Drosophila melanogaster: one gene and its partner. The protein of the gene in region 1 interacts with the protein of each later gene in a pairwise test. Each region holds a gene or a part of one and is shown on either strand. Other genes may lie near its edges. The genes, in order: Nin and ens.

Region 1 (3,923 bases):
CAGGCTCTTCAAGCGTTAGAGCCGGCTTCCATGTCTCATGGTTGTTGCGCCCGTAGGCGTGGAAATTGCGCGGCAAGCGTAGGCCAGCCACTTCATTTGTCACCGGAGGACTTTGTTGAGGAGGTGGATTGCCGTTGCCGTTTTGTTGCTGCTGCGGCTGCTGTGCGTGCAACTGCGGTACTGTAGTTTGTTGCGGCGGCAACTGTGACTGTTGGGCTGGTGCATAATGGGACTAAAACAAAAAAGGAGTATTTATCAAGTAGCTTTGATATTAAATTTAATGCTCACCTCTGCCACAGGAGCATAATGCGATTGTTGCTGGACTTGGGATGGTGGTATTGCTGTTGGGGACTGAGTTGCAGGATGTGGTTCATAGCGCGGCCGCTCCTGGTAGTGTGTCTGATAGGGGACCTGTTGTTCTGGCGGCAGTTGCTGTTGTGGCGCCGGCTGATGAGGCTGTGGGGCTTGATGTGCCTGCGCCTGCGGATGATATTGCTGATAGACATTCTGCTGATATGGCTGGGGACGGTGTTGATTATAGCTCTGTGGCATCTGCTGCTGTGCATAGTTCGTGAGTTGCTGCAGTGCATCCTGCGGGGGATGTTGCTGGTGCTGCTGTTGTTGCTGTTGTTGCTGCTGTTGCCGCTGGTAAAAAAGAGACCTGGCATAGGCGAACTTGGTGTGGGCGTGCTGCAGCTCGGAAGTGCTCTGCGCCTTCTCCTGGAAGGCCAAGTTAAACACCGCCTCCGCATCCTTATACTCCTCGCGAGACTCGTAATAGGCAGCCCATCCAATGTAGAAGGCGGCCACCTGGCGACCAGTTCCTCGCTGAAAAAGCACCTGGTAGAAATGGAGTGGATCCGTTTGCATGGCTATGTACTTCAGCCACAGCCGCACCAAACGGACATCCTGGCGATAGTAGTCATTGTGCTCATACACCGTCAGGCAGCGCTCCAGAGTTTCGCGGTACTTTAGCTCCGGATCGCTTTGCGCGTGATTCTCGTACCAGCAGATGTAGTTGTACCAATGATCGAGTGGATCAGGACCCTGGTACAGGGATATGGCGTGCTCCCAAGCCTGCTTGTCGTTCAGGAAGCCGTGCATCTCGTCCGGGCTGGCCAGCGGCGGTGCTCCAGCTGCGACTGCTCCTGCTCCTCCTCCGGAACCCGATCCCTGGCGCATGTACGAGTGCATGGCCATCTCGGCCGGACGCGGAATCCTCTGATCCCGCTGCGCCGTAATGCAAACAAATGAATGCGAGACTGTGGTTTCTACGGGTCACCACCAAAAAGTCTCGGATTGCGGAATGTAGTGCCCCTTGCCGATTGGACTGGTTAGGGTCCACTAACTCAGTTAATCCCTCGGCGTCTTCGGCTGTCACTGGTGGCACATACACATGATTTTCAGTTGGATTTTTCAACAGTTTGCAATGCTCAAAGATATTTTGTATTTTTTCTTGCTTTTCAGCTTGCAAATGGAATTTATTAGTGCTGCCAAACAATCGATAGAACCATTGGCTGTCACTGTTGACGATGGCTATGCACAAGGTTATCGATAGTGCGATAGAAACGTGTTGTTGGGAATTTTTAAACAAAAGCAATTTTTTGTACAACTTTACTTTTTATTTATTTATTTGTTGCCAAAGTTCAATTTTATTAATAAAACTATAGGGTTCTTTGTTTTAAATTATTGTAGTTTGAATGACGCACAATATATGTGTGTGTGCTATGAAGCACTTCCTATTTGATATACTTTTTGTATAATTATAATCTATTATTGGAAAACAACATGTTAATCGGATGATTTCAATTTATGTCAAGTTTTCTACTTTAATAAGGGGTCTGGTTGGAGCTGAAGCTTTCCAAGTAAAGTTAGCGATTTATTATATGGCATTACGTTCTCCCTTGTTATCTATTTATTTTGTAATATAAATATTCAAATCCTAAACGATAGTTGTATAACGATAGGAACAATGGTCCACGATAGTGCCACCTCCGATGCAAGTTTGCTTAATGCCCTCCAGAGCGCGCCACCGTGCTCGCTATTACTGCATTATTGTTTTTTATCAACTCGCTAGAAATTACGCTATTCCCAAAAAAACCGCAAACCCGCGAGTGTTTATGTTGCGTTCCGAAGTGCATATCATAGATTAGTAGTATTAGTAACCCCTCAAACAGCCTGCTGTCCAAAAAACACGCGTGATTCCCCCGCCACCCACGCACATAGACCCCGATATTTCACTTTTCTTGTTTTCGACCCCTGACTGCGTTTGTGGATTTTCCCCCCAAGAAAAAAAAAGCGAAGTGAAAACGCAATTGAGCAGCCGATCGATTGGAACGGCAGCAAACTGAATTCCCCGGGTTACGGATAATGGAGGTATCCGCCGATCCGTACGAGCAGAAGCTCTACCAAATGTTCCGCAGCTGCGAGACGCAGTGTGGACTTCTGGACGAGAAGTCCCTGCTGAAGCTCTGCTCACTGCTGGAGCTCCGGGATCAGGGATCCGCACTGATCGCCAGCCTGGGCGGCAGCCATCAGCTGGGCGTGTCCTTTGGCCAGTTCAAGGAGGCGCTACTCAACTTCCTGGGCTCCGAGTTCGATGGTAATACGTCATCGGGTTTCATTGGTGAGATAGCACAAAGAATCGATCACGCTATAGATTAACTTATATAGTATAAAGATAATATTTGCTATAAGCTAACGCGACAGGTTCGCATAAAACAACATACGTTTTATCTGTAATTGCGCTTTAATTACCCATCAAGCAACATCAGATAATTACGGAATGTTTGCCAGCCACTTATTAGAGATAGTAATTCAATTTTGACACGGATTTGGAACCGTGTGGGTTTCCCTATTAATAAAACACTGATCTAATGAACACATTTCTAGCAGTCTATAGATGAACAAAGCCATTACTTAATACTCAAAGAAGTGCTACCATCTACGTGCTAATTTGCAAGGATTATGCACATTTACTTCAAACCTCCGCTTATCTGATTTGGAAACTTCTGGGCAAATTTAGGACACCTTAGGGTACGAATATCATAATCAGCACGCGGATTAGCACGGCGGCAGCTGGCGATCATAAAATCATAGATGCAATTGACACTTTTTTACGACTCCCAACTGTTCTCGACTACCTGATCCTGCATGATCCTTATCAGGTAGATGGTTACAATGTCCTGTATAAATACGCGACACATTCACCTGGGCAGTTTAGTCTAAATCAAAATGGGAACACGATTGTATTACCGCCGATCCGGCGGTCAGTTAACAGATCCGATAATTGAGAAGCTAGCCGCTCGTTTTGGTAGCCACCTAAGATCCATACAACTCTTCCAGTTCTCTGCTAACTTATATCTATTGAATCTTCCAGAGCGTTCACTGGTGATTACGGATGAGCCGCTAAACAACACATACATCGAGAGTCCGCCGGAGTCTTCCGATCGCGAGGTTTCACCCAAACTCGTCGTGGGCACCAAGAAATACGGTCGCCGGTCTAGGCCACAGCAGGGAATCTACGAGTTATCCGTCACGGACTCGGACAATACGGACGAGGACCAGTTGCAGCAGCAGCAAAATCAGCGAAGCCTCAACGGATGCGATGAGCTGGGAGTTCAGGTGAGTGTCGTTTGTCAAGTCACGTACGAAGTGGCGATACAACTTCTGGTTATGTATGCAAAATTGCATAGTAAACAGATTTTGTTTAATCGTTATTATTGCTGATACAGTAGAGCATGCCTAAGTAGCACTACCAAAGCAAACAAATTATCTTAAATATACATCATGATCATCATAAGCATCTTATTTTTCCAAACCACACAGGTGCAACGTTCCTCGTCCCAGAGCGATCTTCCTGGCAGCCGGCGTCTGCGGTCCGTCCACACCAGCGGGAGCAAACTGAAGCGTTGTGCTTCACT
Region 2 (3,923 bases), on another chromosome or scaffold:
TAACGAAAAAAAAAAACTATTTGGTCTTAAATTAAATTTAACTTTTTTAGTTTTTTTTAACCTGATTTGAAATCCTCATCTATCTAACGTTTACATTGTAAACAAGAATTTTTAACTAATGTTTGCTTAAAACATATTCTTTTTATATATTGTTGAGCGTGTGTTCTTTTCCTCATTTACAGAATATTTTATGATCTGAACGTTTTTTTTTTATATTTGAATTTCAAATAATTACCTTTATGGACCTATCGGTGTTGCTAAGAAATCGATAAATGTAAAAAATACCAGGCCTAACCGTTGTGTTTTGGCGCCCAAGAAACGGCCACACTACAGCCCCACGCTTCAATTTGTTTGTGCGAATTTGTGAAATTGCACATAAAATGCCGGAAGAACCAGAGAAAACGGCGGACGACAAGCGCAGTCACTTGCCGTGGATTGAGAAGTACCGCCCCGTGAAGTTCAAGGAGATAGTGGGCAATGAGGATACCGTAGCAAGACTATCCGTATTCGCCACCCAGGGAAATGCACCCAATATTATTATTGCTGTGAGTTTGTGAGGAGTAAAATTAGTTTGGCGCCACTAATTGTGATCTATAGGGTCCTCCTGGCGTGGGCAAGACAACCACCATCCAGTGTCTGGCCAGGATTCTCCTGGGAGACAGCTACAAGGAGGCTGTCCTCGAGCTGAATGCCTCCAATGAACGAGGAATCGATGTGGTCCGCAACAAGATCAAGATGTTTGCTCAGCAGAAGGTGACACTGCCGCGGGGCAGGCACAAGATTGTGATTCTGGACGAGGCGGACAGCATGACGGAGGGTGCCCAGCAGGCACTGCGCCGGACCATGGAGATCTACAGCAGCACCACTCGTTTTGCCCTGGCCTGCAACACCAGCGAGAAGATCATAGAGCCTATCCAGTCCCGCTGCGCCATGCTACGATTCACCAAGCTGTCCGATGCGCAAGTTCTGGCCAAGCTCATCGAGGTGGCCAAGTGGGAGAAGCTTAACTACACGGAGGACGGACTTGAGGCCATCGTATTCACTGCCCAAGGTGATATGCGACAGGGACTGAACAACCTGCAGTCCACCGCTCAGGGATTTGGCGACATCACCGCTGAGAACGTCTTTAAGGTCTGCGACGAGCCGCACCCAAAGCTCCTAGAGGAGATGATCCACCATTGCGCTGCTAACGACATACACAAGGCCTACAAAATCCTGGCCAAGCTGTGGAAGCTGGGATACTCGCCGGAGGACATCATTGCGAACATATTCCGTGTCTGCAAGCGCATCAACATCGATGAGCATTTGAAGCTGGACTTTATCCGTGAGATCGGAATCACCCACATGAAGATTATCGATGGTATCAACTCGCTGCTGCAGCTCACCGCCCTTCTGGCCAAACTCTGCATTGCCGCCGAGAAGCATTAGATTTAATATGAACTATAGGTTAAAGAAATCTCAGAGATAAATAAAATTGGAGATAAATAAGTCCTTTTCAGTATTGAATACAAGTGTACCTAAATTTTAAACTGGGCACCGTTAGTTAACAGATTAATGTTAATTTCTATGTCAGCGCACTTAGAGCATATCGTCCCTAATGGAGTGTTAATTATTGCGCCCTTGGTATCGGAAGCTGAAATTATCATACAACATTAGATAATGTATTTATAGGACCGAATGATCATTAGTTTTTATACATAAAACCGGAGTTAGTTTTTATACATAAAAACCAATACGTTAGTTAACATTTCTAGTATTTTCGTAGAGCACACCACTATACAACAGTACGGTCGCATTAAGTAGATTATCGCAGCACTACAGAGCTGGCCACACTGTTTGCAGCGCTAAAGTAAAGTGAAATATGGCGAGTCTTGGGGGCCAACACGGAAATATTTCGACTAATCCAGAAGGTACGCATTGAAAACAACCCGCTGAGAGTGCGAAATCGAAGGACGAATGCCCCCGCGTCGAAAATCGGCCAGGATCTACGCGTTTTCGGGGCGTTTTCAGTGGCCAAAAAGTGCTGGTCGACTGCGCAGCAAAACGGCACTCACACCACGGCCAAAAAGCAAAAACGGAGTGAAGAGAGAAAAACGAAGAAAAAAAACAGCGAGGCGAGAGGCACAGAAAAGAAAAGAAGAGAAAAGCCGAGAAGCCAAAAGTGTCTGCCCCCTAGAAATGGGGGATATATGTATTTCGAGTTCCCCGATTCCGAACCGGAGTTTTGAGTTTATAAATAAGTTCCAGTCGGAAAAGTCGTTGGAACAAGAGAGAGGGAAACATACATTATTTTCTCGTACTTCTCACTGTCTCTCTCGCTTCGTCATCGCAGCTGCTGCCGTGCGCTTGTGTTCGTGCGTGTGTGTGTGTGTTTTTGTGTCCCCCTCCTTCCTCGCTCTTTCGCCTTCTTGTCACCTTTCCTTTTTGCCAAAACGCAACGGCAATTGATTTTCCCCACACACGAAAGCCAAAAGTCCGTGTAAAACTCCGGAAAATCGCAGCGAAACTCAATCGTCCATTTTTCTCGTACTTCTTTTGCAGTGGAAAACACAGCCAAGCGACCCGAAAGTCGCGAGGGCAGCGCCGAGCGAAAAGGTAAGCCTTCTATGCGGATTATCTTGCGAGTTACATAAAATCGGCACCAATGTATATCACACATACGCACTATATGTAATCGCTTTAACATCACCTATAACTCGAACCACAGCCCACGCATTCGCACCTGCCAAGATCTCGGGCTGCAGCGCCGGCGCAACCTTGCATTGGTTCGCCCAGGTGGGCGGTCAAATCTCCGCCAGTGAAGACGACTCTCAAGGTAGTTGGCATTCCATTCAGGCTGCTCCAAAGTCTTCCACAGCCACGCCCCGTTCTGTTCCGCCTCCAAAACGAATGCTCCGAATGTTTGCCGCATGATCTCACTAACAAATAAGACCCATAGTCCGCCTTATCGCGATTTTAACCGTCACTGGTCTATTGCAAGTCTTTCATAGCTGTTTTTCTAATAAGAAAATCTTCTTATCTATTCTCACCCAGTGACACGCTTTAAATCACTGTAGTTTCTAAACTGTCTAGATGTTACCCACTAAAGTGGGTTATTAAAAACTCAAAGCATCTTCAATTAACACCTAAAAGATCAAAATGTTATCTACACTTAAGGTCTAGCTTGATTTTAGATGGCAAGTCCAACTCTAATTATACAAATTTTAAAAATATGTATAGTCATATTTGACTAAATCATTGTGAGAATGCAAAACAAGGAATGATTAAGTTATTGGGAATTTGATCTTAATAACAATGTTCTCAAAGTTTGTTAAGTTAAATTGAACTACATGTTATTACGAGAGCAAAAAGGAAATGGATTTTATCAAGCGAAAAATCAATTGCAATGTTTTTGGCTTTCCAAAAACACAAGTAAATATGGCATACAGTGGGTTAAAATCCAGCAATTTTGCCTGCGACCTTGACAGCTGATAATTTCCCATTTGCAAGATATTTTCGCACCTGTAACTGGCAAAAAGATTGACTTGCAGTTGTTCCTTTGTCGTCTTGCTTACGTCATGGAATTCCAAAAATATCTTAACCGATAAGGCGATAAGAACCAGTTCCCAGTTCGATTATGCAGACTTTGGCAGCCAAACCGCATGCTACCAATATTATTGTTATTATTGTTAATTTTTTTTTTGCATTTTTCCGCCTCAATGTCATTTCAATAGAACAAAATGTGCGCCTGCATTAGCAATTTGCTTTCTATTTTCCTTTTATCATTTGTTTTTTTTGTTGTTCGCCCATTTTGCACATAGGCAAATTTGAAGCGGGGGCGGCGGTATTGTTGTCCGAGTATTTGTGCCATATTTGTTATTGTTGCTGCTGCTAGTTTGTCAATTGACCCACAAAATGCGAGTGTACATTGTCGATGACGTCAG

Evidence for each region.
Region 2: the proteins of Nin (region 1) and ens interact in a two-hybrid assay, tested with the Drosophila melanogaster proteins (one study listed by BioGRID).

Annotation. Positions count from the first base shown.
Region 1 is NT_033779.5:5,276,637-5,280,559, reverse strand, and holds the start of Nin (ninein), read left to right. Parts: upstream 1-2,011; 5' UTR 2,012-2,370; coding exon 2,371-2,626; intron 2,627-3,218; exon of another isoform or gene 3,219-3,234; coding exon of another isoform or gene 3,235-3,313; intron 3,314-3,379; coding exon 3,380-3,624; intron 3,625-3,828; coding exon 3,829-3,923. Other genes in the region: Bub1 kinase, read right to left, coding at 1-232, 289-1,200. UniProt on the Drosophila melanogaster protein: Required for the positioning and anchorage of the microtubule minus-ends in various cells.
Region 2 is NT_037436.4:4,132,441-4,136,363, reverse strand, and holds the start of ens (ensconsin), read left to right. Parts: upstream 1-1,813; 5' UTR 1,814-1,861; coding exon 1,862-1,910; intron 1,911-2,541; coding exon 2,542-2,595; intron 2,596-2,707; coding exon 2,708-2,815; intron 2,816-3,923. Other genes in the region: RfC4 (replication factor C subunit 4), read left to right, coding at 381-545, 598-1,428.